Linked DNA regions of Rhinolophus ferrumequinum. The protein of the gene in region 4 interacts with the protein of the main gene of each other region in a pairwise test. Links are inferred from orthologs where the notes say so. Each region holds a gene or a part of one and is shown on either strand. Other genes may lie near its edges. The genes, in order: MXD4, MXD3, MGA and MAX.

Region 1 (7,382 bases), on a different chromosome or scaffold from region 4:
CTGGCAGGAGTGGCTGCCCTGGGCCCGAGCTCGGTCTCTCTGGGGCAGTGGCCCATCTGCGGCTCAAGCCCTGCCCATCTGGCCCATTCACACAGGGGCAGAGTCCTGAGCCCCGCATGGGCAGTGCCCCAGCCATTGCCCTGTGGGACAGTGAGGTAGTGGGGCCAAGCTCCCATTTCCAGGTCACCCCCGCCCCCCAGGCCAGGCCAGAGAGGGCTCCTAGGCCACCAAGCCTGCCTCATATGAGAGCAGAGAACCAGGCCACCAAAACCTGTGTCCCCCAACCCTCACCCCTTCCTGGAGCTTCCGTTGAGCTCTGCCTGCCTGCCCTCACTCTCTCCTCCTCCAGGAACTTAGGCTTAGGCATCTCTCACCCCCACTCCTTGGGCCAGGGTGCCTCCCCATTCCGCCTGCCTCTGCCACCTGCCATGCTTTGTGGCCCACCACAGCCAATTGGGGCCCAAGGCTTCCCTTCCTCCCACCGGGGCAGCCGGCTCCTGGGCCTCCCTGTGCAGCCTCAGGACTGCATCCAGACTCAGGTACCAGGGGCCTCAGGGCCTGCTGGTCACGTGGGCTGGGCAAGGAGCCTCAGAACCTCTGCCAGGGCCAGTCGGGGCTGGAGGGGCACAGCCACCAGGCTCCTCGCGGGCCTGAACTGCAGCCCAGTGGTGTGGGTCTGTAGGTCTGCCCACTTGTGAGGGATGCAGGAGTAAGCAGGTGTCCTTCAATGTAGAGAAGCCCACCCACCCCCTCAGAGGGTGGGCAGGACCCTTCCCTGCAGGGAGAAGAGCCCCTCCTGGCCAGGACACACCCATGGGAGCCTTGGAGGGAGTCACCACACAGGTACCAGCAGTGCCTGTCACGGTCTATGCTTCTCAGGGTGGCCTCGGGACAGGTGAAATGCCCCGGCCAGAGCTGTGCTAAGTGTGTTCCTGGCATCACCTGGTTTGCCCCTCACTTCAACCCTCTGAGGTAGCTATTCTGTCCCCCTCCCCCCAGCAGGCTAGCTCCAGGCTCTCCTGCTGAACAACTGCCCTGAAAGCCCTTGCTGGAGCCCTCGGCAGCCACTGGGGCTGCTGTCTCAGCCCACACACGTTGTCCTCCTGCCCTACTACCCTCCCCTCACCTTGGTTCCAGCTGTGCCCATCTTTTCCCTCACCTTGGTGGGACACAAAAGCCTTCCAAGTGTGGGACTGTCCCGCCCAGTCAGAGCCCCGGGTCCTCCAGGCCCTGCTCTGCCCTAGCCCCTGCTCTGGGCTGGCTGAGGCCCAGCTGAGCCAGGACAGCCTCAAGGGGCGTCTCTGTGAGCCTGGGGTGGCTCGGGCACTGGGGGAGTCGGGCTCTGCCCACAGGAGCAGCAGCGAGGTGTGCCCCAGCCTGGGAGACCCTCTCGGTCCCTTCCAGTGCCCTCAAGGTCTCCATCCCGGCAGAACGTAGAGGACCAGGACCCACTCGAAAAAGGAGTCCCGAGGTGGGAGGGTGGCCTGGGCAAGTAGTTCAATCTTTCTCTGCCTCGGTTTCCTCAGTCCTAAAATGGAGATAAAAATAACGGCTCCTTCATGGGGTTAGGTGAATATTAGTTAGCATGTGTGTGAAACAGTATGTAGGAAGTACTCACACAGCCTTGGCTGTGATTCTGGTTATCTTTTTTGGGTACGCCATGCCATGGGAGTCCAAGATCATGTCTGGGAGCTTCTCATGGGTGGTATGGCACTTGGGACACTGAGAGCCCACAGCAGGGGCCTAGCTAGCTCACTGAGGAGGCCTGAGGCAGTGGTGCCCCCCACGCCCCCATGCATGTCTTTTCCCAAACTGTCCCCAGCAGGGGACCAGGGGCCGGGACTCAGAAGCATGTCCAAGCCAGGGCAGATGGAGACAAACAATTCCTTGCCAGGCCCAGGCGCCAGGACGTCACAGGAGATGAGTCCTTGTGCCAGCCTTTCTGTTTCCCAAGAACGGACAGGCCACAGGAATGAACCGCACCCTCTGCCAAGGGGCCCCGAAGCCCCCCAAAGTGCAGCTCCCAGCCTGATGACAGACCTGGTCTGGGCCAAAGTGGGCCCTGGGCAGTGTCAGGTGTCCTCTGGTCCTCCTGGCAGCCAGGAGAGTGGAACCCCACGGGAGCCCTAGCTGAGGGTCCCCACTCCCCACCCAGGGCTGTGCACCCCTGCTTCTGCAACCTGAGTGGAGGCCAGAGGACCAGAGACTCTGGTACTAGGAGAAGCTGCAGCATAGCACCCTGCCCCCTCTCTCTCCTCCCCCTTAAAAAGGGTCCCAAGTCCCAAAGAAGGAGACCCCTACACTTGTCACCAGTTTCACTTGTGTCAGGAGGCCGGCAGGATCGTGAGCACCATGAAGGAGTGGAGGCCCAGGGCAGGGCCTCTGTGCCGCCTTCTTTGTCCAGGCCACTGGGGGTGGGGGGTGGGGGGAATCAGCCTAGCAGCAGGGCTCGCCCCTAGGACACAGTCGGAGAGATGAGGCCCACCCAACCACCTGCGGTGAGCTGAGATCAGGGCGGGTAACCCCACGTTGCTCTGCACCAAGCCTCAGTCTCCCCAGACCCAAGGGGCACCGGCCAACACCCACTGACAACTTTTTTCCTGCCCAGAAAAGTCCAGAACAACTTGGGGGCGGGGAGCCGCTGCGGGAGGAGACCCCGGACGGCGGGGCTGTACGCGTGGCACTGTTTACGCGAGAGGCCGAGGAGGCGCGGCCCGCAGGAAGATGGCGACGGCGCGGGCGGGGCCGGGCGGGCGGGGCTGCGGCCGCGGCCCCGGCGTGCCTCCTCCTCCAGGCTGGCCGCCGGGGCGCACGGCGGAGGCCCGGCTGCGGGCCGGGGATCCGGGTCGAGGGAAGGCAGTCGGGGGGAAGGAAGGCCAGGGTCGGCCGCGCGAGGGGCGGTACCTGTTGTTCGGGGCCTTGCGCACCAGGCCGGCCGCCTTTGTTTTCTTCCTGGCGAAGTCGCCGTCGAAGGGCAGCACCGAGGCGTAGCCGTGCTCGGCCTCTGCGGACAGACGGTGCGGTCAGCGGGCCCTGTCCCGGTCCCGGTCCCGCCGCTGCCAGCCCGCCCGCCCTCCCGCGGCCCGGCGCACAAAGGGGCGCGGGCGCTACCTCGGTCCCTGCGCTCCAGGTACTCAGCCGCCTCCAGCAGGATCAACAAGGAGTTCAGCTCCATCCTCCGGCCCGCCCTTGCGCTCCGGGACGGCGGCGGCCGCTGCCCGGCCCACTCCGGCCGGCTCCGCTCGCCGCCTGCCCCGCGCGCCCGGCGGCCCCACTGCCCCGACTCCCGCGGACTCCCTGTGCGCTCGGCCGCCACCCTCCGCCTCCGGTCCTCAAATTGACACTTATGGGCGAGCGGCGGCCGGCACAGCCAATGGGGGCCAGTACTCGGGCTCCGGGGGCGGACGTTGGCCCCAGTCAGGCCAATCGGAACCGGCCGAACGCCTCGGGCCGGGCCGAGAATGTTGACAGATGCGATGCTCGGTTGGGATAGGCCCGCCGCGCTAGTAACAATTTAGAAGCCCAAGCTTAGCAACAGCACGTGGTGGCCCGGCCCCCGCGCTAGCTGACTGGCGGCCGGCGTGCATGTTAAGTAGTCGCCGCACGCCGATTGGCCCAGAGCGGTCTATGTAAAATAGGCACCGCGGACCAATGGCTGGCTGCGAGGCTCGCGGCCAATGAGGACGCCGCGGCCGGACGCGTTGCCGAGAGGAAGCAGAGCGCGGTGGGACTGCCCGACGCCCGGCCCTGCGCGAGGGCCCGTTAGGGCGCGGGGAGCGTCTGGAGCGCCTCTCTGCTCCCAGGTCTGCACACAGTGAGAGGGAACCTCTTGCCCCTGAGCCATCTGCAGCACTGGCTCCGCGGGAGCACAGGGCCTGGCTGTGACCTTAGTGGTCTCGCGTAGGGCTGCAAAACGACACCCCTTCCTGGGACGAAGAGTGATCCCAGGAGAGCCCGGGGCTTGGAAGAGGGGCGCAGACAGTCTGAGCCTAAAAGCCAAACCGCCTTGAGGATCTCAACTGGGAAGCTGAGGCCCGGGTGGGGTGTCTGTCTCAGAGCTGTCTAGCGGACCCCAGAGCTGAAGGAGGAGCTCTAGGCTTAGAGAAGCGGGGCAAAGATTTGCCGACACAACCTGGAGGGGCTCCCATGCGTGGAAGGCTGCGTGCTCCTGTCTGGTCGGAATGGTGAGGACTTTCGGAGAGGCAGGCGCTGGTGCCCTCTGGCCAAGGGAGCACATTCTGGGGAAGAGAGGTGCACTCCGTGGGAAGGGAGACAGCATCTCAAGCTCCCAGCTGGCCGGTGGCCCTGGCAACCCCTGACCCTAAAATGGCCCCATAGGAGCAGGGACTGGCAGCCCGGGGGCAGCCGCAGACTGGCCTCAGTCACCCTTGATCTTCCCTGTCACTGCTTATTAAGACTGGTGGCTGGGCAGCTCTTGAGGATGGGATTCCCCACAGAAGTTCTAAACTGGGGAGGGAGCACTGCTGCAGCCAACAAAACATAACAAAAACTACAAAAAACCTTGTGTGTTTCTGCATCCCCGATTTGCAGATGAGGAAACTGGGAATCCTGAGGTTTAGGGGTTCCCCAGGGTCTCCCGGAAGTCCCCATGGAATGGACATTAGTGCTCCTATATGTGTGACGCAGGGCTGGTGACACAGGAGTGCAGAGACCAGGCCACCTCCTGCCCCAGCATGACTTGTTGGGGTGAGCGCCACAGCTGTGTGATCTGAGAAATAGGGTGCGGAACGTGTGCCCCGCAGAGTGGCAGAACCCGGGGGGAGCTTGGACACTGCTCTCAGACAGCCCTGCACGGACATTAAAACAACCCCTTGATATTAAGGCCGTGCTTCCTGCTCCTGCCTGACAGCTACCCCACGGCCAGGGCAGAGCCCCTGACGAGAGCTGGGTGCAATGGCTCTCCGGGTTAGTCTGGAGGGCTGCTCCGGACGCAGAGTAAAGGAGGGCGCCCAACTCTGGGGAGGGGCAGGTGCATTCTGGGCTTTGGGGTGTAGGAGGTGGCCCCGAGCTCAGCACCTGCTCATCACTCCATCCCTGCCTATGTGAAGGGTGGGTTGCTGGCCTCAGTCCTAAAGCAGCACCTAGCCCTGCGTGGGTGCACGTGCCCCATGGCCACCATCCTTCCAGGGGTGGTGTGTGAGGTGCACCCTGTGCCACAGCAGGCAGCTCAGGTGACCAGGGGTGACTGTGGGAGCTGTGTGCCTGCTGTCTCCCAGCCTGAGAGCAAAGGGGGTGGCCCCCACCTGACCTCCATCTACATCTAGGCCATTTTGGGGATCCCTTCCCCAGCCACACCAGGTGCCCGAGGGGCTCCCCACCACCTCTGAGAGTCGGCACAACTGCACCACAGAGAGTAGGGGTGCAAGAGGGATGGGAGGAACGTGTGAACGAGGGGCTGGGAAGAAGGGCAGGGGGCCTGGTGCAGGCAGATGCGTCTGGGTCTCAGGCTGTCAGGTGCAGTGCCGCCTCGAGGACCAGTTCTGTAGGGCACGTCTCCAGCAGGTACCCAGCACCTCCTCCAGGGAACCTTCCCTGAGCCCAGGCCAGGCCAGCTGCCTCCTCACCTGCCTCCCTTTCCTACTCCTGCTCAGCCCTTCCTGCCCCTTATCTAGTGCAGGGACCTGTCCCAGAAGGAATCAGCAAAGTCCATGCCCAGGGAGAGGAGGCAGACACCTAAGAGGAGGCAGACACCTCAGGCCCCCCACTGGAAGCCCAGCCCTCCATCCTTATCTCCATTTAGAGTCCAAGACGGGGCCCAGCCCTGGGTGGGTGCTGGAATCCGGCAGCCCACAGCCTGCCTCTCCTCAGACCCCTGGGATGGCCTGTTTGGACAGCTCCCTGCAGGCAGGTCTGCGGGGCCTGGGGACAGAAGAAAGCCTAGCCTTGGCTCCCATGCTGAGATGCCTCGTGGGTTCCAGGACCAGGGGAGATTCCTGGGGAGCTCCTGTTACGGGTCCCTTCCGCAAAGCCACTCTGGATTCTAGTCTGGCCACAACACCTTGGCCAAGTCACTTAATGTCTCTGAGCCTCAGTTTCCCCAGCCATAAAATGGAGTTGACAGTACTTGCTGCTTGGGGAGGTGGTGGGGTACCCTGAGGAATGCATGGGCAGCTGCAGGCTCAGCACAAAGGGAGGTGGCAGGAATAAACATCAGCCCAAAATCAGCAAGTGCTTCTAACGCAGGCCTGCCCAGTCGCCATCGGTCAGTATCAGAATCATGGTCAAACCTGGGCCGGAGTGATGGCTGCTCAAGCTGGCCCGCCGTGGGCAGCAGACAGGCCTCTGAGCATTCCGGGGTCTTCAAGAAGTTTAACACTCAGGGAAAAAATGTCTCCAGAATACAAGAAGAAGACAGAATACAAAATCAAGATGTGGTTAACTGTCTGCACAGCCTAACATAATGCCAAAGTGGAGGCTTCCTAGTCTCAGGCAGGATGCCCTGAGGGCCTGGGCCCAGGAAACTCACGCCCAACTTCCCATCCCAGGGTCCCGGTCATCCAGCTGCTTCTACACCCAGAGGGCAGCAGGTTGGGCTCTGGCGAGGGTGACTTGAGCTGCCTCCGTCAGAGGGTGCAGAGGCCTTTCAGGTCACAGGGTCCTGAGTGATGGGGTTGGGGGACAGTAAGGTCACAGCTGTCACTGTGGCTAGGCTGTGTTACTGCCTTTGATGGAGCTGAGGTCCCAACAGTGGGGACCCTGGCCTCTGCCCCACCAACTCCTCCTCCCTTCGATGTCTAAACCACAAATCGGAATGTGTCCCCCCTGCTCAGAGTTCTGCCACAACTCGCCATTGCCCTCATGGCATTTGGTGCCTTATTCTCCATCTGTGTCCCCCCCACCCCGCTGGGAGCATCACCATTTCTCAAACTCTCAGGGCTGTTCTGGCCTCTAGCTCTGGCACCCTATTTTCCACAGACACACTGCCCACCCCCCAGGGCCCAGCCAGCTCAGCCAGCTCCAATGGCCCCTGACCTGCAGACCCCCACGGGCAGGCAGGTCTGGAGTGTCTGGGTACCCATCTTTGCCCAGTTCAGGTGCAGGCTCCAGCCTGGGCTGCCCTAACCGTTTGGGAGCAAACGAGCACAGCAGCAGAACCAAAGCCTTGCTGGTGTTTAAGTCTTTGGCGTGACATTGTGTTTGAGCAACTGCTCCGTGCTGGTCTGGAATCACTCCTCCCATCTCAGAGGCAGGAGAGGCTGACAAGTTCGCTGATCCCTGCAAAGGGCCCCGGGGCTCTGATGGGAGAACATGTATGAGGGTGGGCTGGGGGCCTCCACTGAATGGGAAGGCTGCCTGGAGGAGGTGGCTCTGGGTAGGCCAGGCAGGAAACAAGCACCTCCAGGAAGCATCCTGGGCACGCT
Region 2 (8,528 bases), on a different chromosome or scaffold from region 4:
TTCTATGGGTGTTAAAAAGCTAAGAAAGGAATTTCTATAGGTGCAGATAAGCTAACATAGTGATGCTAATTCTAAAGAATGTCTTCAATATCCAGTCTGGTAGTCATCATGTCCGCTTTCCTGTTATCTTTGCAAACAGTTATTTGGAATACAATGCCTTAGACCCAGTCCAAAATTTATTTTGCCCAGGTTTAACATTCAAAGTTTTGAGGAGTAAGATGTGCAAGGCAGTTCCTTTGAGATGGCAGTTCTGCCTCTATTTTAAAATGACTCCATTTACATTATTTTCTACAAAGGGTATAATGAATTCAGTAGTGAGTTGAATAGTGTCCCTCAAAATTTCATATCCACCCAGAACCTCAGAATGTGACCAAATTTTGAAATAGGGTCTTTACACATGTAATTAGTTAAATTAAATGAGGTCACATTAATTAGAGTGGGCCCTTATCCAGTGACTGGTGTCCTTATAAGAAGAGGGGAATTTGGACACAGAGAGACACAGGGGAGAAAGCCTTGTAAAGATGGAGGCAGAGTTGAAGTGATATGTCTGCAAACCAGGGAATGCCAAGGATTGCTGGCAAACATCAGAAGTGAGGAGAGAGGCCTGGAACAGATTCTTTCTCAGAACCCCCAGAAGGAACCAACCCTGCTGACACACAGAGTTTGGACTTCTAACCTCCAGAACTGTGAGCGAATAAATTTCTATTGTTTTAAGCCACTCAGTTTGTAATATTTTGTTATGGCAGCTCCAGGAAATTAATACACATGGTAATGAGCTATTCTGGGATGTAGCTAGAAAACTTGAAAAAATGAACCAAATGAAAATTCTAGATCTGAAACATACAATAGCTGAAATAAAAAGTACAATGGATGGGCTAAACAACAAGTTGGCTGCTAGAGAAGATAGACAAAGTGAATTTGAAGACAGGTAAGCAGAAATTATCTACACTGAAGCTGAGAGATTTTTAAAACTGAAAACATTAACAAGCATCAGTTACCCTTGAGATATTATCAAACTGGGAGATGGACATGAAATTGAGGTCAGAGTAAGAGAGGAAATAGAAAGAGAATAGGGCAGGAAAAAATATTTGAAGAAATAAAGGCTTCTTCAGAAGCTCAAACCACCCAAGCAAGATAAATACCAAGAAAACCACACCCAGGCGGTTGCCTGACCTTTGTCCTCAGGTTTTAGGAGACATCCTTTTTTCCCCACTGGGGAACCTTGGGCTAGCCAGGAAGTAACAATGTGACAATCAAAGATAAAGAGAAAATATTAAAAGTGGATAGGGGAAAGAGACATTACATATAGGGGGGAAGATAACAATTCCAGCTGACTTAGAAAAAAATGCCAGTCAGAAAGCAAAAGAGTGACATAATTCAAGTGCTGAAAGGCTCCCAACCTAGAATCTTATATCTAGTGTAAATATGCTTCCAAAATGAAGATGAAATAAATTTATTTTCAGATAAACAAATGTTGATAGAATGTGTTGTCAGAAGACCCACATTACCAGAAACTCCAAAGGAAGTTCCCCATTCCCCAGGAAGACTGACCGGAAATGATGCCTGCTTAAACGCAGCTCTACAGGATGAAGTGAAGGATGCTGGAAATGATGTGTGTAGTGGTGAAATACAAAAGACAGTTTATTCTTAATTTTTAAAAAGGGAATTGACTGTTTAAAGCAAATTTGTAGCAATGAGTTTTAGGATTTATAACATGTGTAGAAGTAAAATATATAACAACAGTAGTAAAAAGAATGGTAGAGAGCAATGGTGTATGTTTTTTACATTACATGTAAGATGTTTTCTGTATATATTATACATTATAAAATGGTACAGTATTAATTCAAAGTATACTGCGATAATTTAAAGACATATTTTATAATTCTTAGCATAACAACTTAAAAGAGGTACAGATAAGAAGCCAATTGTGGATACACAATGTAATGCTAATAAAGACCCAAGTAACCCGAAAGAAGCCAGAGAAGAAGGAAAAAAGGGAAAAGGACAGAGGGGACAAATGCAAAATAAAAATCAAGATAATAGACCTTAAACTCAACCGTATCAAAAGGATTTTAGTAAATGCAATTCAAAGACAGAGCTTATCAGACCACAGGGAGCGAAAAGCCCCAATGATATGCTGTGTTGAGAAAAACATGTTAAATATTAAAGACTTTAATAGGTTAAAAGCAAAAAGATAAGGAAAAAACTTACCAGGAAAACAGTAATCAAAAGAAAGCTGTTGTAAGGTTGGCTGGATGGCTCAGTTGGTTAGAGTTTGGTGCTCTTAACAATAGGGTTGCCGGTTTGATCCCCACATGGGCCACTGTGGGCTGCCCCCTCCACAGCTGGATTGAGGCGATTGCTTGACTTGGAGCTGATGGGTCCTGGAAAAACACGCTTAGATAAATAAAAATTAAAAAAAAAGAAAGAAAAAGAAAGCTGTTGTAGCCTTAAAGAAAGGGAGATTGCCAAAGATAAAAAGGGATTTTTCATAATGCTAAAAGAATTAAGTCATCAAGAAGATATAACAATCATAAATGTATACTCGTATGTACTTAATAATAGGATTTTGCACTATGTAAAGCAAAATATGTCAGAACTAAAAAGATAAATACAATCCCACAGTTATAGTTGAAGATTTTAACGTTTGTCTCCCGGTTATTGAATAGAATAAGCAGCCAGCATAGCCACAGGTACTGTGGGCAGGCAAAGCCGAGCGGTGGGGCGTGCACAGGGGCCGCAGGGCTTCAGTGTTCAGGCTGACTGTGCAGAACCTGGGGGGTCTGGGACAGCGGTTCTAAGACCAGTCACTGCTACGGGGGCAAGAGCACTGGAGGTCTTCTGCTTGGTCCTGCGCCCAGATGGTGCTAGCACTAGCATTTTCTCAGAGGGGCCAGAGGGGCATCCAAGGGTTTGGGGCTGGAGTGCCATCATCCCCACCTGCCCTGCTCCCTGGGAGGTATTGCTTCCTGTCCCCCTGGCTGGCGGCCCTGAGCCATATTCATGGGAGGCTTGACCGTAGCCTCCACGTTGTTCTTAGCTCGGATTCTACTCATGGCTCCTAGGATGAAGTCCAGACTTCTCAGTGTGGTCACTCCAGCCTCCCGGCCGCCCCTATCTCACTTCCACAACCTCCCGGGAGTGTCTCTAGCTATGAAAGTGTGCTTCGCTTCCTCCCTCTGCTGGAAACTCTCCTCCTTCAGAAGCCCGCTCTTCATCTTACCCTCACACAAGGCCAGGCCACCTGGGTCCCAGATGTCTGACCAGTGGGTTTGTGTCTGCACTGTGTGGGTGCTGACTTTAGTGAAATCAAATTGGAAATTAATTCACAAGCCTTGACTCCTTTCTTTAAACATAGGTAATTGTGTGTGGGGGTCTGCAGAATCCATCAGCCTGTTCTGGACCCTGCCAGCCTCTCCAGGGCCGGCTTTCACCTGCTCTTTGCTCTCTCTGTGCTAGCCACAGTGGCCACCTTTCAGTCTGCATATATTCCTTTCAGCCTCTGGGCCCCTGCACCTGCTGTTCCTGTGTCTGGAATTCTCCGACATCTCTCTTATACATAGATAACAGCTTTTCATCCATTTCCCCAGAAAAACCTTCTCTGACCTCCCTGATTAGGTCAAATGCTCCTTAGGGTGTACCCTTTCAGTGTCTGTCCTGCCAGGAGCTGTCAAAGCTGTATCTCTATTGTGTCCACCTCTTTCTTCCTCTGTGATTTCTGCAAAAGCAGGAACCCCATCTGATTTTGCACATCATTCTAATCTCCAGCTCCAGCACAGTGCCTGGGGGCCATTAAGTGCTCAGCAAATACTGGGGGAGTGAAGGGCTGGGTGAATGGTTCAGTTCTTGGCCAAGCATGTCAGTGATTCCTCTAGGGGTGACTCTTAGAGAAACTCCAAGGTTTTTCCAAGGAGGCGAAGACTGACCGTCATGTGCCATGTGTTTACCCAGCACTATGTCTTTATAAAGAATCTAGTCCCTCCTCGTCCACCCTCTCCATTGCCCGGTCACTGACTGGGCCCGCCTGGCAGCCTCCGCACTTAAGTCTGTCACTGTGCTCCCGGGTGTGGTGCTGGTGCTGCTCCTAGACGTCACTGCAGCTACTCCCTCGGGAGGCTAGGAGGTCACTAGAGTTCTGCGGGAGGGAGAGGCCTGCGTGTAGTGCCCCGAGCCATAGAAAGTTGCACCTACCTACTGGGCGGCACAGGCGTGGGCTCTGAATCGTCAGCAACGCTGTCGCAGGGCTTCCCGAGCTTTACAGGAGGGAGGTCACTTCCCAAGTCACGGAGCTGAGAAGCAGCGGTGACAGGAAAGGAACCCAACTCGGTCGGCTCCAGAACCCAGGGCTCTCTAGCCAGCCGGTTCGCGTGCTTCCAGACTATGGCGGGGCTCCGGAGGTCGGTACACTACTACATTTCGTAGTGACAGCAGCTGTCTTGCAGGTGAGGAGGAGGAGCCAGGAGACTATTCCCATGAGCCACAATTGGGAACCTGAGGTCCAGCGGGGCCCACAGGGGCAGATGGCCAGCAGGCCAGGGCACAGACCCCGAAGCGCGGAACTGGATCCGCGCCCCCTCCCCCGACGCCTGCGCACTGCGGCCCCATTCCTCGCTCAGCCCCGCCCCCACCACAGGGTTTTCAAATTTGAAACCTGCTTCTTTTCCCGCCCGAAAGTGTTGACCAGCGGCGGGAGAGGGCGGGGCCGCGCGTAGCCAATAGTGCTTCAGAGGCTCCTCGGCCCCGCCCCGAAGGTGACGGCAGTTCGCCGCAGGAGGCAACCTGCAAATGGGCTGGGGCGCCCGCCCGCCCCGCCTTCGCGGCGCCCACGTGCAGCGGCCGGGCCAGGGACCTTCTGGGGACCAAGGGCCCCCAGAGCACCTTCGCTGTGCCCGGCCCTCGCCTCCAGTACGGGCTGGAAACTGAGGCCCAGAGACGCCAAGCAGCCAGTGCCGGGTCACTGAGCAAAGTGAGCTAGACACATCAGCCCCTAGCCCGGGAGTTCGCCCTAAAGCCGGGCCTGGAGCTGGCGCCGTAGCGTCCCCGCGAGAGTCCAAGGGGGCGAGCTGCGGTCCCGGCGCGTCCCAGAGGGGCGGGGCCAAGAGCTGGGCGTCCCGGGGGCGGGGCGTCCCGGGGGCGGGGCTGCGCGCCTGTGTTTGTTGCACCGTGTCAGTTACATTGTAACAAAAGTGGTGCAGCCGCCCCTCCCGCCCGCGCCCCAGGCCCGCCTGCCGCCAGCTGTCGCCGACATGGAACCTGTGGCCAGCAACATCCAGGTCCTGCTGCAGGCCGCCGAGTTCCTGGAACGCCGCGAGAGAGGTGAGGCAGAAGAACCTTTGGCCGGACTCCAGGCGGCGACTTCGCTGACACGGGCCTGGGTTGGACTTGGCTCCTAATTGGAAGGATGCATGCATGGACTTGGGGCAGTAGCCCCGGGACACCCCCACTTTCAACTAGAGAGGGGTCTGCTAGTGGTTGGGCTGTGAGGGGTTGGGGAAATGGACCTGGCGCCAAAAGCCCCTCCCTGACTGTGCCGTGCCAGGGGCGCCCGCTGGTACCAGCCCCAGCTTGACGCGGGTGGGGGCTCTTTCTGGCAGAGGCTGAGCATGGCTACGCATCTCTGTGCCCGCACCGCAGTACAGGGCCCGTCCACAAGAGGAGGAAGCGATCCCCCCAAGCTCCTGGCGCGCTGGACAGTGGGCGGTGAGGAGGGCTGGGGGTGACGGGGCGGGGGTGGGGGGCGGTGCGCGACGCCCCTTCTCGGGCCCCTCCTCGGCCCCCTTCCTCCTTGTTGCTTGAATCTTCTGGGCCAGGTACCCTACTCTGGAGACATTCAGACCCCTCTTGCCGTCTCTCCACCCCCCCAAACACACACCCTTCTATTCACTCAAGGACTATTTCTTGAGTACCCCTGATATGCCAGGAACTGTGAACAAGGGAATTCTGGGTCCTGCTTCCACTCACGCTCCTGCGCTCCACCTATCAAACCACTCTCTTTATCCCACAGGCTTCCTCCTTTTCTCTCCTTGTCTCAACATTTTGCACGATGTTCCCTCCAATTTGAGTGCTTCTCCCTTCACTACCTGCTTTGGGTAGCTTGTGTTTCCGGCTCAGCTCACTTGTCCAGGAAGCCCTTCCTGACTGCTGGTAGGGGGCTTCATTTGGACCTCACAGCCACCATGGGCAGGCCTCTCTCAGCATTTGCTGCCCCCACCTACCCACCCACCCCATGTGTCTCTGCTACCATCTGGCAATTCAGGTGCCTGAGGCCAGCACAAGGTCCCCACACTGAGCTAGTTGGGGGCAGGCATCTGTAGTGAGTGGGTTTTGAGCCCCTGGGAGCCTGGTACTGAGGGTGTGGGCAGCAGCCGACACCCCTTTACCCCATCCTCCCCGGCATTGGCAGGTCTGTGCACAACGAGCTGGAGAAGCGCAGGTGAGTACCAGCCCTGCCCTGACAGCACCAGGCCCCAGGAACCGCTCCCTCTGGCCTGGCCTTCCCTGCCAGCCCTCTGGCCAACAAGACTGGACTGGCACTGCCCTCCAGACCCCTTCCCCTGCAGGAGGGCCCAGCTGAAACAGTGCCTGGAGCAGCTGAAGCAGCAGATGCCCCTGGGGGCTGACTGTGCCCGATATACCACACTGAGCCTTCTGCGCCGGGCCAGGATGCACATCCAGGTAAGGGGCTACCCTCGCACCCTGGGGCCAGCTTGCCAGGACGGGTGGAGAGGTGTAGTAGGGAGAAGCTGGATGGAACTGGAGAGAGGCCTGAGGTCATAGCCCCTCTGTGTGACAGGGAACAGTTCTCCGTGCTTTTTTTAGTTTCCACATTTTTTTAAATGTGAAGAAAAGCAAAAAATAACTCAGAGGATTGTTCTGAGGCTTAAGCTTCAGTGTTCACCCAGTAAATGTTCACTGTTGTTTTTACAGCTATTACTCCTTCCATCCCAACTGTAAGGCCCTGGGCCAGGCTCTTAGCCTCTTTGGACTTCCTTTCCTCCTCTGTATGGGGGACATGGCTGTTGGGTCATGTGTAAGGCCCCCCTGGAACTATAGTGGGGTGGTCCTCGCTCTTCCTCTCCCTGTCCTTCAAGTCCTGTTCTAGGCAATCTCTCCTGAAGCCACTTTGGGAGGCAGCTCCAGAGGCCAGGAGGGGGAAGACTCTGAGAGGGACTGTCACCCTTGTTCCCAGAGCTCTGCTGCTGCCCCCTGGTGGACATGAGTGGGGTGTGCTGACTCAAAGCTCCAGGCAGTGGGGATTAGGAGCTGCGTTGGAAATAACAGAGGCCTTTCCTGGCCCTTTTGTCTGGGGAAGAAATGGAGGCACAGCCCGGCTTATGAGCGGCAGATTCAGAACTCAGGCCCAGGTCTTCTGACTTGCATTCTTTCCTCCAACAAGTATTTATTGAGCACCTGCTCTGCCAGGCCCTCCTAGGCACAGGGGGTTGTGGCGGAAACAGCTGGATGTGCCATGTGGCAAATAAATCAGTGTGGGAATTGTCCGCACTGTCCCATAGGTGCCTGAGTTCCTGTTATGGTGGCTGAATAACACCGTGGCTGGATAGCAGGCCCCAGTTTGTCACATGGAGCTTGCCTGGCCTGGTTCTCGGAGGGACGGTGTGCCCCTCAGGTGCTGACTGGCTGGTGGGCAGGACCCAGGGATCGCTCCTTCCTGGAAGCCCCATCACCCCTCTCCTGGACTCCCAGCTTCCTGGTTTGCCTCCACCAGGCTGTCCTCCACCTTGCCTTAGGATGTTGTTTGCATCACATAGATCTGTCCAGGTCTGTCTCCTATGAAAACCTTCCATGGCTCCTGACAGGACAGTCTCAGACCTTATTTCCTGTGAACTCAAGGCCCTTTGCAAGTCAGGCCTTGCCACTGGCCTTTTTTCGTTTCATCTCTTCCCCATTCCCCATAAAAAAGCCGAACTCTCTGTGCTCTTCCCGGTCTCCCTCTGCCCGGCTGCTTCTCCTCCCCCATCTTCACCCAGGCAGCTCTTACTCATCCTTCTACACTCAGTCCCAATGCCCCCTTGTCCCGTGCTCCCCTTCTTGTTGACTGAAGGCTTCTGCCCACTGAAGGCTCTGACGTGAGAACCCTTGGCCTTCCAGTTCCTGGTACTTGGGCTGGCAGAGCTCTGGTGGGGGTCAGGGGAGGAGATTAACACTGAAGCCTTAGGGATCTTGGGGGGGCCTTGACCAGGAGTTACAAACTGGTAGCCTTTTGTTTAGTCTGTAGTTTTCTAAACGTTTAAATTAGTTGGCAGCACTTAAAAGGGCATTTGACATGAAACATCTGACTTTCCAGCTCTCTTAAAGAAACTGGGAGATCTGGCAGCACTGGGCGTTTCCACGTGGCAGTAACTGGCTGGAACCTGGAGGTCGCCTTCTCCTTCAGCTGGAGTACACACTTGCCAGTGTGCCATAGTTTGTCCCTCCCATCCCTGTCGCTTGATACCAGCACCCGCCACTCCTTCACTTCACATCACCTGACTAGGCCCCGAAGGTCTTTGAGATTGTGTTGCTCTCCC
Region 3 (7,729 bases), about 33 Mb from region 4:
GTACCAACCAGTCCCTTAACAAAGAAGAGGAGCTGCTGAGTCAAAGGACATATAGGTTTTTAATGCTTTCATAAGTACAGCCAAAATGGCCTCCATTAAGGATGTTCATACATAATTATCAATCAACGGCAGTGTATGAGTATGCCATTCCCCCACTCCTATGCCAATGCCAAATATGAACATTTTATTACATAGGTGCCAATCTGCCAGACAGAAGGACGAAGTTGTTGTTATTTGTTTATAAGTGAAAAAAAAATGTATTTTCATCTTTATTGGTTATTTTTATGTCTCTGTGTGTGTGAGAGCTACCTATTCATGTCTTTTACCGCCATTAGACATTAAGGTCATTAACGTAGGTCCAACACACCGCGCAAGATTTTTTTCCCACAATTTGTCTGGCTTTACTCATCATTGGATCCCTATACCTGAAAAACTGCCTGGCACATAGTAAGCACTCAATAAATATGTTAAATGAATACTGAATTAATAAATTTGTCTTTTAACTTTATGGTATTTTTGCCAACTAGAGGTTGTTTCGTGCAATAATTCTATCAATCTTTGCCTTTATGAATTCTGCCTTTCTGTCATGCTTAGAACAACTCATCCTATTCCAAGATTGGAAAATTGTTTACCCACTTTTTAAAGTAGCAATTTTCTAACTTCACATTTTATATTTAATTCACCTGGATTTTATTTTATTTACATTTTAAGGTACAATTCCTTTTTTTCAAACAGCCAATTGTTCCAACATCATTTGGAAATTTTTTCTTAACCTATATGAAATGCCACCTTTATAGTACTAAATAGCCTTATATATTTCTAGGTTTATTCTGTTCCACTGCTCTAGTCCAGAGTTACTACTTACTGTTTTGATTATCACAGCTTTATTTGTATGGTCACTAGTGTTAAGAGCCCTCCTCACTTTTCTCTTTCAAATTTTTTCCTATTTTACAGGTTCATTCTTCAAAATAAACTTTTGACTCATTTTGTCAAGCTTTCAAAAGGCATTCTGGCTGGAATTCTGTAAATTACTTAATCTCTCTGTTGCTATTTCCCTCATTGGTAAAACGGAGATAATAGTACTTATCTCATACGTTTGTTATGAGAACTAAATGAATTAAGACATATAAAGTAATATGCTAGAAAGATGTTAATTATTACTCTAATTGCTCAAAAGTGACAACTATCATTATAATGATTGCTCGATAAATGTTTTCCAGATTGTGCTCCCACAAAATTCAAAGGCTCTTTAAGATACATCAAAGGGTAGCATGAAACTGAAAGAGTGATATGAAAAATATATAATGTATGCCTGCTTCATTTCACTAAAGGCCTTGACCTTTGGTTAAATGAAGAGCTGGAGCTGGGAGCAGAGAACCATGAAAAATACCAAAGGCTAGTGAGAGGAAGCCTCAATTTTTTTTATTTTTTTTTATTTTTTTATAAAGATTGGCCCATCAAGAGGAGAAGCCTTATGGGGCATGAGCAAGTCTCTTCTAATTACTTGTGTTTCCCCATCTCCATAGTGACATAGTGATGACAATACTATTATCTCAATTTCTTTCCAGAAACACACAGGGACTAGACGTCCAAAAGAATAGTTTTCAAGTAAGAAAGTGGGCAGGTACAAAGTATAAATGCTATTGATAAAAATGGACAGATATGCCAGATTCTAATAACAAATTACCTTCACTAAATTCCCACATCAACGTAATGATGAGGGAGGGGATGGTTATGGGGTTTTTCTTGTGGGGAGATGCGATTGTCTCAGTTAATAATTTGTTCACTGTTCTTTTGTTATCTACATGACATTGGGATGAGGCAGAGTCATACACCATACGAAGGACCTTAAAGAAACAATCTCCCATACGAAGGACCTTAAAGAAATAATCTCTTATACAGAGCTAAAATATAAATGACAAAATGGAGGCCGAGAGAGGCAACATGACTTGCTAATTACAAAAGTAGCTGAAGGCTTAGACCCCTGGCCTCCTAATTCCCAGACCTCAGACCTCGGCTGATTTCACCACACCACACAGCTTCTCGCCGAGGTTTGCCACGCTTCGAGGTGGGAGGAGTAAAAGCAAGCAATCTGGCCGCAGCGTAAGGCGCTGGAAACCCACAGGACCGCACAGTCGACAGCACGTGACTGGCCACGCCTCTCTCTTCTCCCACCCTCCCCCTTCCCCGCGCCAGCAGCACGCGCTGCCAACCTCGTCATGTGACCTTCACGCGGCCCCAGCGCTCCCCCTGCTAAGAGACTTGTTTCCAGCAGCCATTTTGCCTTGAACTTGTCGTCCGTGTTCACAGCGGAGGTGGACGCCACTAAAACCCGTGGCCAGATTTTACAAGCCGCACACGCGCTTCGAAAGAGCGCTCTGGCCGTCAGGGCTGAGCCGAACCTCACTGAACACGTCGCACCCCGGGGCGCCGGGGAAAGCTGTGGGTGCGCCTCGGCCTGCGATTGGCTGTGGCGTCCACGTGATGCCAGCCCCCCACCCCTCTCCTTCCCCCTACCCACAAAAACACCCAAACATACTCTTAACACCTCGCGCCAAGTACACGCCACTGGGCGCGTGGGGACGAACGGGATGCGTGGCAACCAAGGCGCCTGCGCGTACCTGCCGGGCCGACCGGAGCGGACCCACGCGCCGCGCCGCTCTGCTCACGGGTCCGGGATTCCTCGCGCTGCTGGACCACCAGGCTAGTCATTGGCTGCCAGCTTTGGTCACGTGGTCAACTCAGGCCTGCCCCTAACCGCTAATCACCTGGCACCGTGCTCGAAGCGGCGCTGAAAGTCTTTCGCACGCGGAAAGGGAGGGTAGTTAGAGGACCTCCTTTTCTGCCGTTAGGGGATGGCATTCACAAAGGGGAAACGAGGAAACAGGGTCTCAAAACTAAGGAAGCTCATACCTACCAGTTTAACTTCGCGTGCCCCTCCAGGAGCCGGGAACCATCGCCCTTGGGCGCTCCCCGATGCACGCCGGGATACGTCTGGCGCCCCTCGGTGTGCTGCAGAGCATGCCGGGAAAGGCACCTCTCCCGATTTCCTGGCTCTCACCTCCCGGGCATTCCTTTCACGTCCCCTTGAAAGCCCGGTCCTTCGGCTTGGAATGAGGCGGATTGAGTAATTATGGGAGTGTAACTGGATATAACAGGCACTTTCAGTCCCCCTCCCCCCACTTGTTCCATCCGTGTGGTCTTGGGGAAACCGCTTAACCTTTCTTCATAGAGCATGCATTTAGTAAGTACCTGCTGAGTGCCTTTGTGAATATTGCAAAAAAAACCAGCAAGGGTGTTTGCCCACAAGTAAACTACCAGCCTTTCATGGTCAGTGGAAAAGAATGCTAATTTATATACAACTTACTTAAAACCCCACTTGGGAGAGGAAATAACACCTTGAATTTCTCTTGGGACAGAAGACCAGATCTTCCTTGGTAACTTACTCCTCTTGTTGAGGTAAATGGGGGTGGACGAAAGAGGAGTCATTTTAAAGGGCCCTATTACAATTTCTGGTTCAAGCTAATACTAGCTATGCATATTGGAAGTGAGAAAAACACCATCTGCTAGCGCTGAGAAAAGGTGGTCTTACATCGGAACGCGTTCATTTTGTAACCTATTCACAAACCGGCCTCCAGGTCAAAACTTAATATTCTACTCCCATGAAGCCCCCAATTAAAACAATTCATATCAAATCTCCTCCACTTTGAACTTCTGTCCTCAGTTTTGCGGATTTCAAAACTTTGGTCTTTCAGTTAAAGGGATGATCAAGCATGGGGAATTTGACTACCACCGGTCAGACTCACAACAGTGCTGATTCATAAACAAGGAATTAAATGTATCAATTTAAAATATGATTACCAAGCCAAAATATAGTTTCAGACACCCTTTTCTTGTTTCAAGATATTTGATGAGCCTAATTAATTATTACACAATTGTTTCCTGACTAGAAAGTCAAAAGAAAGGGAATTAGACTTCTGAATATTTATCCAAAGAATATGAAAACACTAATTTGAAAAGATATATACATACCTATCTATGTTCATTGCAGCGTTATTTACAATCGCCAAGACATGGAAATAACCTAAGTGTCCATCAAGGAATAACTGGGTAAAGAAGATGTGGTATGTGTACACACACACACACACACACACACAAACACACACGAATATTACTAAGCCATAAAAAAGATGAAATATTGCCATTTACAACAACATGGATGGACCTTGAAGGTATTATACTAAGTGAAATAAGTCAGAAGAAAAAAGACAAACTATATAATGTCACTCATGTGGAATATAAAACAAAAAAGAAACAACAAATAAAATAAAAACAAACTCACATACAGACAACAGATTGGTGGTTACCAGAGTGGGAGGGGGGGTACAGGAAGGGCAAAATGGATAAAATGAGGTCAAATGTACGGCAACGGATGGAAACTAGATATATACATGCTATAGTGTATACAGATACCGAATTATAATGTTGTATATCTGAAAATTACATAATGTTACTAACCAATGTTACCTCAATTAAAATATAATCATAATAAAAAATATAAAAAAGGGAATTAGATGATCAGATAATAAAACCATTAAACTATATCTATGTTAAACTTGAAGTTTATGAAACATTCCAATATACTTTATTACACGAAACCCTAACAACAACCCTGAAAGAAAAGTACTATACTAATATTACCATCTTCTGAGACAATCTTGAATGGGAAGCTGGCAAATGTGTTTTAACATAGTCTCCAGGCACCTGGAATGCACAACTAGATTTGGGTTCTACTGGCTCTAGTGGAAAGAGCCCAGTCCTTGAAGTCAAAGCCATCTGTGTGAACTTGCAGTTCTCTCACTTACTGTACTTTGACCTTGAACAGGTTTTTGAATGTTTGAGGCTCAGTTCCTTGAACTACAAATTGGGGCCAATCGTACCAAGTCTTTGGATTATCATGATGATTCTGAAATAAAAATATTTAGAATACCTGTCGCCGTCCCTGATGAATAGGAGGCACTCTATAAATAGGAGTACTATTTAGTGGCAAAGTTGTATTCTAACCAGCATCCTGTATTCTGTCCAGTATAGCAGACTCTTGAATCCTTTTTTCTCCACTATTCTGTTTCTCCCCTAGACAGTGCTAGAGGCACACTAACAAATTCTAACACTGCAGATTTCTTTTAGACTTTTTAGTGACTGTTGCCCATCTGTTGGTACATATTGTTACATTATTTCCTGCCTTCATTTCAAGCTTTTTCCTTTTTAACATATTAAAATGCTGAACTGTAGACATTATTGAAGTAAAATAATGATGATACAGAGATGCTTAGAAGGTGGAATGGGCACCTGTGCCTACACTTCAAAGAGGTTAAAATTGTATATATTTAAATATCTCAGAGTAAAGACACCCTCAAAACTCACTTCTCTCTTCACTTATGTAACACAATGTTTTCGATGCTCCCTTCCCAGTCTTCTTCCAGTGGTTTCTTTTCCTCTTCTAGCTTCACCATTCACTCCTAACCAAGGGAGGATTTAGATAGGGCAGAGTTTCCCATACACATCTGAAATTCAAAATTTCAAATTAATTCAATTAATTCAAATTAATTATCTGTCCATTTACCTCACGCACCAGCTACTACCGTATTCCCTTAAATGGGCAATGACACCACTATTCCAATAAGTCTCCCGGTCCAGGAAACCTCCGTTATCCTTAATTGCTCCTTCTCATCTATTTTCCGCTTTCAATGGTTACAAAGTCCTGCTGGTTCTCACATGTAAACGTCTTTTAAATCCAACACCTACTTTCCATTTCTTCCACCATGACATTAGTACAACCCTTATCTCTATGAGACCCTACATATATAAGTATTTCATTATAATGAGAATATCATGTTAAAGTTGATTTCAGAATACAAAATTTGTCATCTATGTTGTTTTACAATAGACGAGTAAAAGGTTTATAATGTCCTACACAGTGAATGTCCTTAGTAAGGAGGAGTGAAATATTTTTTTTAATATAAGCAAATGTATCTAAATACATATAGGAAGTTATAAAGTCTAGAAGTTTGGGGCAAATATTTTACTGAGTGCTGAAGAGAATTAGTTGTGATCTTGGAAGTGATTGTAGATATTTTTGCTATTCTCAAATATTTCTGGTTTTCCCAACTTTCAACAACAAAATATAATTGCTCTCCCTGGCTCCTTTGAAGTTCGGAGTGACTGCTTTGGCAATGAAACGTGAGTGGAAGTGGCATGGAGTAGTTCTGAGAAGAAGTATTAATCCTAGTGCACAATTCAGCCATTTTCTCTTTCCTTCTCCACAGCCACAAGCAATGGTAGTTACCCCATCAGCCTTGTTCCCATCATATGGATGACACAGAGCAGTTACCCCAAGCCAACTAGCAGTGAACATATGTCGTGAGCAAGAAATAATTTAGCTTGCTTTAAGAAAGACACTGAGATTTGGGATCTTCAGTTATCACATAACCTTGCACACACTGAACGATACAGAAATGAAGGAAGTTGCTAGAGGTGACAAAAATGTATTCTGTTAAGGAAGACCCCCATTGCCAATGTACACGATGTGATACAAATTTAGAAACATAAGAGAATAGAAGACTCTAGCAGCATGAGGGGACAACTGCCTGAGGGTGGTGTAAAAGAAGAGCCTGAAGAAAGAATACTCATTGGAACCTTGCTTTTCATCTCTCCCTACTACATAATCCATTTTTTACAGACCAGCCAAAGTGATCTTTTAAAAGTATTAGTGAGATCTTATGACTCCTCTGCTTGAAACTGGCCATGTTTCATATTACACTTACCATTAAATCCACACTCTTCACCTTGGCCTGTAAACCCTAACTGATCTGGTCCTTGCCTACTTATCATTTTATGGTTTATACACACACCCTTGATCACCATTATCATCCGTACTTTATGGCCATCGCACTGGTTGTGCCCTCATCCTGGGATGAAATCCATGTGGATGGATCCTTCTCAGTGATTCTCATCAACTCAATGTGACTTTCTAAGAGAAAGGTCTTAGTTCACTACCCTAGGTAAAGTAGACTCCCTCCATCTACCCATCATCTCTAATTTATCACCCTGTTTCTTTTCTTTATGGTACTTCTCCTTATCTAAAACTACATTATTTGTTGTATTGTTTCGCTTCTGCCTCTACCCAAGAGAACACAATCTCCATGAGAATAGAGGCCTCCTCTGTATTCTCAATATCTTGAACAGTTCTGGCACATGACAAACAATCAGCAACAAAATACTTGTAAACCATGTATATGATAAGGCTTTACTATCCAGAATATATAAAGGACTCCTACAACTCAACAACAGTAACAACCAAAAAAATAAAAAACCTCAATTAAAAAATGGGCAAAGGAATTGAATAGACATTTCTCCAAAGAAAATATACAAATGATAAACACATTTTAAAAATGCTCAACATCCTCGGCGGTAAGAAAAGATGAAATAGACCATTTGTGACAACATGGATGGATCTTGAGATTATAATGCTAAGTGAAATAAGTCAGACAGAAAAAGCAGAGAACCATATGATTTCACTGATATGTGGTATATGAATCAAAAACAACAAAAGAACAAGACAAACAAATGAAAACAAAAACTCATAGACACAGACGATAGTTCAGTGGTCACCAGAGGGTAAGGGGGGGAGGGGTGGTAGAAGAGGGTAAAGGGGATCAAATATATGGTG
Region 4 (7,800 bases):
GAGTAAAGATATGAAATATATCTGATACATCATTCTGATTACAGGGTGGAGAACACACGGGAGGGTTGGAAGTTCCCAGCCCTCTCTGAAAATGTGAGGGGGAAAGCATCCTTTGCTGTGCCCCAGAGATCTTCCTTTTGGCCCTCCAGGTCCAATTGCCCTAGGCTCCAGGTCTCAGCTCCTGTCAGAGGGCCTTTTCCATATAGCCCTCTCCATAACTCTATAACCACTCATTCCCTGCCCTCTACAGGCCTAGGGGTGGGCACAGAGCCCCAGTGGTACTGCAGAATCCTTTGTAGTTTCTTTACACTCTGCCCACATATTTCTAAACAATCTCGTTATTAAAAAACTCCTCAAGTGATCTTAATTTGTATGTGCCAGCTGGTTCCTTCTGGGACCCTTGAAGTTATACCTCCTCCCCAAAAAAAGGAAAAAGCAAGCGTAAATGACATAGGGAAAGCATGGGACTATTGTCCTGAGGATTGTGGCTTGAGAAGTTTGCTGCTTAGGAAAGACAACGGACTTACTGAGATAGTGGTTGTCTTTTAATAGCTCTGCTATTTTGGTGAAAATGATACTGCTCACTTAAAAAGAAAAGAAAAATCATTGGAAATTCCACCTCCCAGAGACAAATGTTAACATTTTTGTGGAATATCCTCGCTCATCAAAGCATCTCAAACTCTAATGTGCATATGAATCACTTGGGTATACTGCCATGTTTCCCTGAAAATAAGACCTAGCCGGACCATCAGCTCTAATGCGTCTTTTGGAGCAAAAATTAACATAAGACCCAATATTATGTTATGTTATTTTATGTTATATTATATTATACCAGGTCTTATATTAATTTTTGCTCCAAAAGATGCATCAGAGCTGATGGTCCAGCTAGGTCTTATTTTCGGGGAAACACGGTCTTACAATGCAGGTCTGATTTAGTAGGTCTGGGATGGGGCCTGTATTTCTAACAAGCTCCCTGGTGATATGGATACCATTGGACCAAACTTGAAGTAGAAAGGAGCTAGATTGGGCTGCCCAGTGACAAGTCCCAGTCTTGAGAAGCTCACATAGGGCTTTACCAAAGACACGCATGCAGAGATGCAAATGAATTCTAAGAGTCCTAGATTATTATTCACATCATAAAAATACTAAAAAGGAAAACTAGAGGAAATGTATGTTCTCGTATGTCTAATTCTTTGCTGCTATTATGCTTTGCCTGTGAAAGTACCTCTATTTGGGTCACTTAATAGTGTTTCTTAAGTTCCAAACGTGTGAAGATTTTCTAGTGTTTTTGTTTTTTGTTTTGTTTTTAAAGATTGTATTGGGGAAGGGGAACAGGACTTTATTGGGGAACAGTGTGTACTTCCAGGACTTTTTCCAAGTCAAGTTGTTGTCCTTTCAGTCTTAGTTGTGGAGGGCACAGCTCAGCTCCAGGTCCAGTTGCAGTTGTTAGTTCCAGGGGGCGCAGCCCACCATCCCTTGCAGGAGTCAAACCGGCAACCTTGTGGTTGAGAGGACGTGTTCCAACCAACTGAGAGCTCCAGGAGCTCCATAGCAGCTCAGCTCAAGGCCCCTCTAGTTATCTTTTACTTATTATTTCTACTTTAATTGCGTTAGGTCCAAGAACTTGTCTTCTAAGATCACAGTCCTATGAAATTTGTTGATATTTGATGTAGGGCTCAGAATGTGATCAATTTTTTTTTTTATTTTTTTTTGATCAATTTTTATAGATGTTCCATGAGAGCTTGAAAATAATATACTCTACAATTTTTGGGTGCAGTGTTTTATGTGTCTTAGGTCAAATGTATTACCTGGGTTGGGGCCGGCCTGGTGGACCAGGTGGCTGGAGCTCCATGCTCCTAACGCCAAAGGCTGCTGGTTCGATTTCCACATGGGCCAGGGGGCTCTCAACCACAAGGTTGCAGGTTCGATTCCTCGACTCCTGCAAGGGATGACGGGCTCCACCTCGCGCAACTAAGATTGAACATAGCACCTTGAGCTGAGGTACCGCTGAGCTACCGCTGTGCTCCCGGCTGGCTCATTTGTTTGGAGCGCATCCTCTCAACCATAAGGTTGCCACTTCGACTCCCGCAAGGGATGGTGGGCTGCGCCCCCTACAACTAATAATGGCTACTGGACCTGGAGCTGAGCTGTGCCCTCCACAGCTAAGATTGAAAGGACAACTTGACTTGTAAAAGGTCCTGGAAGTACACACTGTTCCCCAATACAGTCCTGTTCCCCTTCCCCAATAAAATCTTAAAAAAAAAAAAAAAAAAGTATTACCTGGGTTGATAGGTCTTCATATTCTATCAATTACTAAAAAGATATCTGTTAAAATCACCAGTCTCTCTATCTGGAAAGACTTTCCTCATCACTTCTGCCTACTTCTCCAGGCCTCCATCCAACAACTGAGGATTCATGTTCACCAAAATATGATCCAGTCTCTGCAGATCCCATCCTTAGCCTGATGGAGCTGACAGCCTAACAAGACTTACCTGATCACCAATACCTCCCCACCCCACCTCAGACCTGGAAATATTTCTCCCTCCTCTGAGCTCTTACAGCATTCACTGTCTGCGTAGCTAATTTAACACTTAGTTTGTGTTCACTGCAATTATTTGTATTCATAATTTACTCCCCTATCAGGTTTTAGATTCCAGGTGGGCAAAGATTATCCTATGTTTTATATCACTGCTTTATTGAAATACAATTATTGACAAACCATAAAATTCGCTCTTGTAAAGTACACGATTCAGTGGAACACTATCTTATTTATCTTGGCATCCTCTGTAGCACTGGTTCTCCATCTTGGTTGCACATTGGAATCACCTGCAGAGCTTTAAAAAAAATACTGCTGCCTGGTTCTCACCCCCAGAGGTCCTGACTTAATTGGTTTGGGGTGCAGCCAAGGCATTGGAATTTTTAATAGCCCTGGAGTGATTTTAACTTGTAGCCAGTGTTGCCCTGTAGTGCTTTGCACATAACTGGCACCCAATAATTGTTTGTTGTGATCATGAATTAGCTCTAACTTCTAATATCTAGCTAACTAACTCATGCAAGAGCTACCTTCCCTGTCTCCCTTATAGCCCATCAGCTTTTATATCATAATGGTCTGCTTATGTCTGTCTCCCCCACTTAGTGTGAAAGAAGACTAGGAGACAAACGCATTTAGAAAAGATGTTTACTTGCAAAGCTGTGCAAACTTCAGTAGGACTGGATCACTGAATAAGAAATACAACAGTTATTTAAAGGGAAAAAAATGTAAAGATTACCACATTTACATGTCTCTTCAGCACGAATGATATGGGGATGTATGTCACAAAGGTTGTGACAAATATCCTCAAACTTCTGTATTCAAAAGTCAGGGATAAAATGGTTTTCATGAGGGAATCAGAAATTTAAGAGAAAAGCTCAAGATTTCATTCATTTTGGAGACCAGATGTAAAAGAGTAGTTCGGGTACTTTGTTTCTGTCAGGGGTGAAAGTGTCTTGTTTTCTCTTCCTGTGGGACTTGATGTACACTCTTAAAATGGCAGCAGGGTAGTCTCATTTTTGTTTCCACAGCTGTGAGCAGCATGAAGTCTGGGACAGTTCCAGTCTGATACATTATGGCATCCCCATGCTGGCACATGTAGGTGTTCAATAAATATTGGTGGAATGGATACAATGACACCTCATGCCACCGTATCTAAATATGATTCTAAATGGACAGGAGGTGCAGTTTCACGTTTTGATACTTTTTGCAATTCTAAATTATGGTACTCTGAACTGGGGCACTCCCTAAACTGCCTCGACTGCAACAAACTCAGAAGAGGCTTTTACTTCCACAGAAACGGTTGTTAGGGGTGGGGGGTGGGGTGTCTGGGAATGTATGAGCCTCACGTGAGTAGCAAGGATGGTCATTTGGAAAGATTTTCGCCTCTGGCAGCTGTCCCTCGGTGAGGCCGGTCATCCTGCAGGTCCTGTAACACTATTTAACACCTGACATTGACACATCTTCATAGCCAGATCCTCAGGGTCCTTCTCGTGGACGTCCCGAGCCTCGTCCCCTAGTCTGCCGCAGCAGGATCCCCAGCTGGCGGGTTACGCCCCAGGGCGCAAAGCTGGGAGACTCAGGAATTAAGAAGACAAAGTAAAACCAGTCGCACCAAGGAGAGACAGCGTTATTTAGGAAGCTGGCTACTCCCCCAGAGCCTCCACCCTGTCCCCTGGGCCCGGCGCCCGGCGCTCAGACCGTGCCCGGCTTCAGGAGCTCCAACTCCCTCCACGTGTCCTCTCTTCCCAGGAGTCTCCACGGCTGCCTCGGGAGAAAACCTCCTGACAACTAGGAGTCGCAGACTACGACTCCCAGCAGGCACTGCGCTGCTTCTCTCTCCGCCCACTCCATGGGACACGCAGGCGCTCTGGGCTCCGTCAACAAGTTGGGCTGGCGTCGACTAGTTGCAGTTCCTTACGGGATTTGTAGTTTTCTTGGCGCTAGCTGTGCCGTCAGTCAAAAGAACGAGAACTACAAGTCTCGGCGGCCCCAGCGTGACCAGCCTGGTCACGTGGAAGGGGGCCGACCGGGCGTGCGTGCCGCCGTTGATCTGGTGCTGCAGTGAGGAGGTGGTTCTCGCCCGTGTTGAGTGTGTGTGTGAGTGAGAGAGTGAGTGAGTGAGTGAGTGAGTGTGTGTGTGTGGGGACTCGGCTTGTTGTTGTCGGTGACTTCCCTCTCCCCTCCACCCTTCCCTCTTCCCCGTCGTCGCTGCAGTGGCCGCTCCCTGGGCCGTAGGAAATGAGCGATAACGATGACATCGAGGTGGAGAGCGACGTGAGTCCCGGGATTTTTTCCTTCCCTTGCGGGTTGTCAGGCAGGGACTGCGGCCGGGGCTCTCAGCGGGGTGACGGCGGCAGGGGGCCGGGCAGCAGCCGCCTCCTTCCCCTCCCCCGCCCCCCGGGCTCGGACCGCCTCCGTCGCGCTCCCGGCTTGCTCCCCTCCGGGCTCCTGGCCCGAGCGGCCTTCTGAGCCTGGAGGTGGGAGGGAGATACGCGGCCTCTAGGACCCTCATCCTCCCCCGGTGGAGGAGGGTGCTGCGGCCTCCCGCTCCCACCCTATACCGCTCAGGATCCGGGGGACAGGGACGGGTTGCGCCGGGATCCCATTGTCCGGACCCTAGGGAAGGGGACGACGCTCAGGACCTGCCCCATCGGTCCGTGATCCCCTCCTCTCTTGACCCGCGGATCCTGGGGGGGTGAGGGAGGACGGTGAGGGGTTGGGAGTGCCCAGATGCCCAGAGCTGGGTCCGAGGAAAGGAAACAGTGCTCTGGTTCCCTCCAGCCTGGGTCGGATCCTGGAAGGAGGGGCGGCGCTCGGGACCCCCCTATCCCGCCACCGGATCCCGCTGGGGGGGTTAGGGGTGTGGGGGAGGGAGGGAGGTCGGGCTGACTCCCCACCCGCCGCTTCCTCCGCCGCCGGCATTTTCTTTCTTTAATGAATGTGAAGTGTAAAAATAACTTCTATATTTTCTATTTTTTTTCTCTCTTATTCCAGGAAGAGCAACCGAGGTTTCAATCTGCGGTACGTCTCCTACTCTCCATTTCATTTTCATTTCCATTCAGTTCTAATCCTTTTTGGGGTCAGAGAGAAAAAGATCATTCTATTACTTTTAATAATGTAGTAAACTCTCCTGTTGATCGCTAAGGTGAGGTTGGGGCCTTGTTCTGGGGTTCTAGGTGGGGAGGTGGGTTTGCAAATCTCATAATTTTAGGTTCTCAGGTGACAAGTTGCGGTGACCGGATGAGTGAGAGAAGATATATGCAAAGGAATGAATCGTTCCAAAGTTTTCTGATGGAGGAATCTAGCTGTCACTATATAAGTTGTAGATGAGAAATGCATCATTCTGAAGTAAGTTGTATGATTTCAGGGCAGAGTGGTCGAAAGATTTACTTGGGAACAAATCGATTCTAAACCATATCTATCTAGTTGTTTGAAGCTGGAGCCACATGCAGTGATCGGCTTTAACCAAAAGTCATGTGACTGCTGTAGACTTACTGAATCTAACACACCATGGTATTATTCTAATACAGAAATTGGAAATGTAGAGGAGCCAGAGGTTGAATATGAGAGTCACATACAGCTTATTGTGTAGTCTGATGATGTTTAAGTTGAAGGAGAGAGATAAAATAGAAAAATAATTAAAGAAAGGTGGCATTGCAGAGGTAGTTTTGCTAAAAGGTGATGGTTGAAACCATACAATATCATCAATAATTTGTCAGGATTTTGGTATTAGTGTTCTCAGTAGATGGTTCTATGGATGTAGATACAGATGTAGATATAGATACAGATGTTGATATACATATACACTAATAATATCTTTGGAGTCAGAGACAGTCCTGTGGGTGTTCCATGAATAGATGAGAGAAAGAAAAAAAGAACAGACACAAAATCAGAATCAGAGGGGAAAAGAAATAAGTATATTAGCGTGTCCACTGTTTGACAGCTGGGAACAGTAAGTGTATAGAATGTGGTCAAAAATTCCTATGCCTCTGGGGGACCTAGGCAGGCAGATAGTCACAAATAAAGTAGAGAGCAGAGGGCAGGACTGGGGTACGTGTTATTTTTCTGATTTTTAAAATGATGTGTGGGACAATCAGGTTGTTTGGAGGCTTACTAGAATTTGCAGGATGCCACTTTGATACCTCTGGTCTAAGAATTTAATTACCACAGGATAAAAGCAAGCCCTCTTACTGGTACTTTCATTAGAGCAAGCAAAAATTCTGCAGTTTGTCCAAGCAGATCAGCATTAAGAAAAGTTTTATTTATTGAGAGCTGATATTTCAATAAAAATCTGAGGATAGAGTTTTAAAAATTAAAAATTACCCTGGCTAATAGTGACTAAAAAAAATTTATTTCTCCTTGAAGTATTGTCAGATACTGAAGTTTATATATATATTTGAAAATTCAGTTCCTTTTTTTATCAGTTACTATTACCATTAATAATGTGAACGTGGAATTTCATGCTTGGGACCCAGTCTATTTAAAACATCTTTTTTTCTCCAAGTCTCTATAAAATCTGCTCCAGGGTTTGATCAGGGTTGGAGGATATGGATTTGAATTGGAATTATTATTTGAATTGGAATTACATTGGCTTTTCAGTGGGGGAAAAGTTTTCCATGTGAAATTTTGGCTTACTGTTCTTGAAAGCTTTCTGCTTTTCAAAGTATTCATCCACATGGGCGTTGATGTAAATTGCTTTATTAAATTATTAAAATGTTTCCACTCTCCTAGAATGCTAATCTCATTGTTTTGTCTAGATATATTTTGAGTTTGTTGTTAAGGTGCCTACGATTTTTCTCTTTGATTTTGGTGGGTGGGCAAAGGGAGTGGGTTTGACCCTTTGTTTTTAATTTGACATCTACTTGCTGAGACTTTTCAGTATTATCTGGCACAGGAAATTACAGTAGCATGGAGAGAAGAAGCCATAGACAAATTTTATAGTGTATCAAACAATTATAAACATGTAGGGTAAAAAGGATTACATTATTTTTCTCTGAATATGTGTTCCTGACACTTAGCATAGATAATAAATGTATTATTTAAAAGTTAGGGGGAGCTATTCTTAAGCTTTACCTTCGTTCAGAAAAGGATGTGGAGTGTGAATAACTACGTACGTATTTAGGACTATAGAAGAATTTTTTAAAAAGTTACTTGGCAAAGGTTCTGCTAGGTCCTAATGTAGAAAGAGACATTTGTGCTTTATAATGTCACTATAGTAGCTAAGGCCTTACTACATGAAAAATGTAGGATACTCCACAAGAACAGCC

Evidence for each region.
Region 1: the proteins of MAX (region 4) and MXD4 interact in a two-hybrid assay, tested with the Homo sapiens proteins (2 studies listed by BioGRID). The link is inferred for Rhinolophus ferrumequinum from reciprocal best matches to the Homo sapiens genes MAX and MXD4.
Region 2: the proteins of MAX (region 4) and MXD3 interact in a two-hybrid assay, tested with the Homo sapiens proteins (4 studies listed by BioGRID). The link is inferred for Rhinolophus ferrumequinum from reciprocal best matches to the Homo sapiens genes MAX and MXD3.
Region 3: the proteins of MAX (region 4) and MGA interact in binary tests that used the Homo sapiens proteins (3 or more experiments, as listed by UniProt). The link is inferred for Rhinolophus ferrumequinum from reciprocal best matches to the Homo sapiens genes MAX and MGA.

The regions. Positions count from the first base shown.
Region 1 is NC_046288.1:86,854,698-86,862,079, reverse strand, and holds the start of MXD4 (max dimerization protein 4), read right to left. Parts: upstream 3,326-7,382; 5' UTR 3,176-3,325; coding exon 3,112-3,175; intron 3,005-3,111; coding exon 2,905-3,004; intron 1-2,904. UniProt on the Homo sapiens protein: Transcriptional repressor. Binds with MAX to form a sequence-specific DNA-binding protein complex which recognizes the core sequence 5'-CAC[GA]TG-3'.
Region 2 is NC_046307.1:5,312,956-5,321,483, forward strand, and holds the start of MXD3 (max dimerization protein 3), read left to right. Parts: upstream 1-5,155; 5' UTR 5,156-5,246; coding exon of another isoform or gene 5,247-5,316; intron 5,317-5,594; coding exon of another isoform or gene 5,595-5,603; coding exon 5,604-5,700; intron 5,701-6,403; coding exon 6,404-6,675; intron 6,676-8,528. UniProt on the Homo sapiens protein: Transcriptional repressor. Binds with MAX to form a sequence-specific DNA-binding protein complex which recognizes the core sequence 5'-CAC[GA]TG-3'.
Region 3 is NC_046289.1:63,755,707-63,763,435, forward strand, and holds the start of MGA (MAX gene-associated protein), read right to left. Parts: upstream 3,041-7,729; 5' UTR 2,918-3,040; intron 2,702-2,917; exon of another isoform or gene 2,622-2,701; intron 2,556-2,621; exon of another isoform or gene 2,540-2,555; intron 1-2,539. UniProt on the Homo sapiens protein: Functions as a dual-specificity transcription factor, regulating the expression of both MAX-network and T-box family target genes. Functions as a repressor or an activator.
Region 4 is NC_046289.1:30,901,605-30,909,404, forward strand, and holds the start of MAX (protein max), read left to right. Parts: upstream 1-4,555; 5' UTR 4,556-4,771; coding exon 4,772-4,807; intron 4,808-5,527; coding exon 5,528-5,554; intron 5,555-7,800. UniProt on the Homo sapiens protein: Transcription regulator. Forms a sequence-specific DNA-binding protein complex with MYC or MAD which recognizes the core sequence 5'-CAC[GA]TG-3'. The MYC:MAX complex is a transcriptional activator, whereas the MAD:MAX complex is a repressor.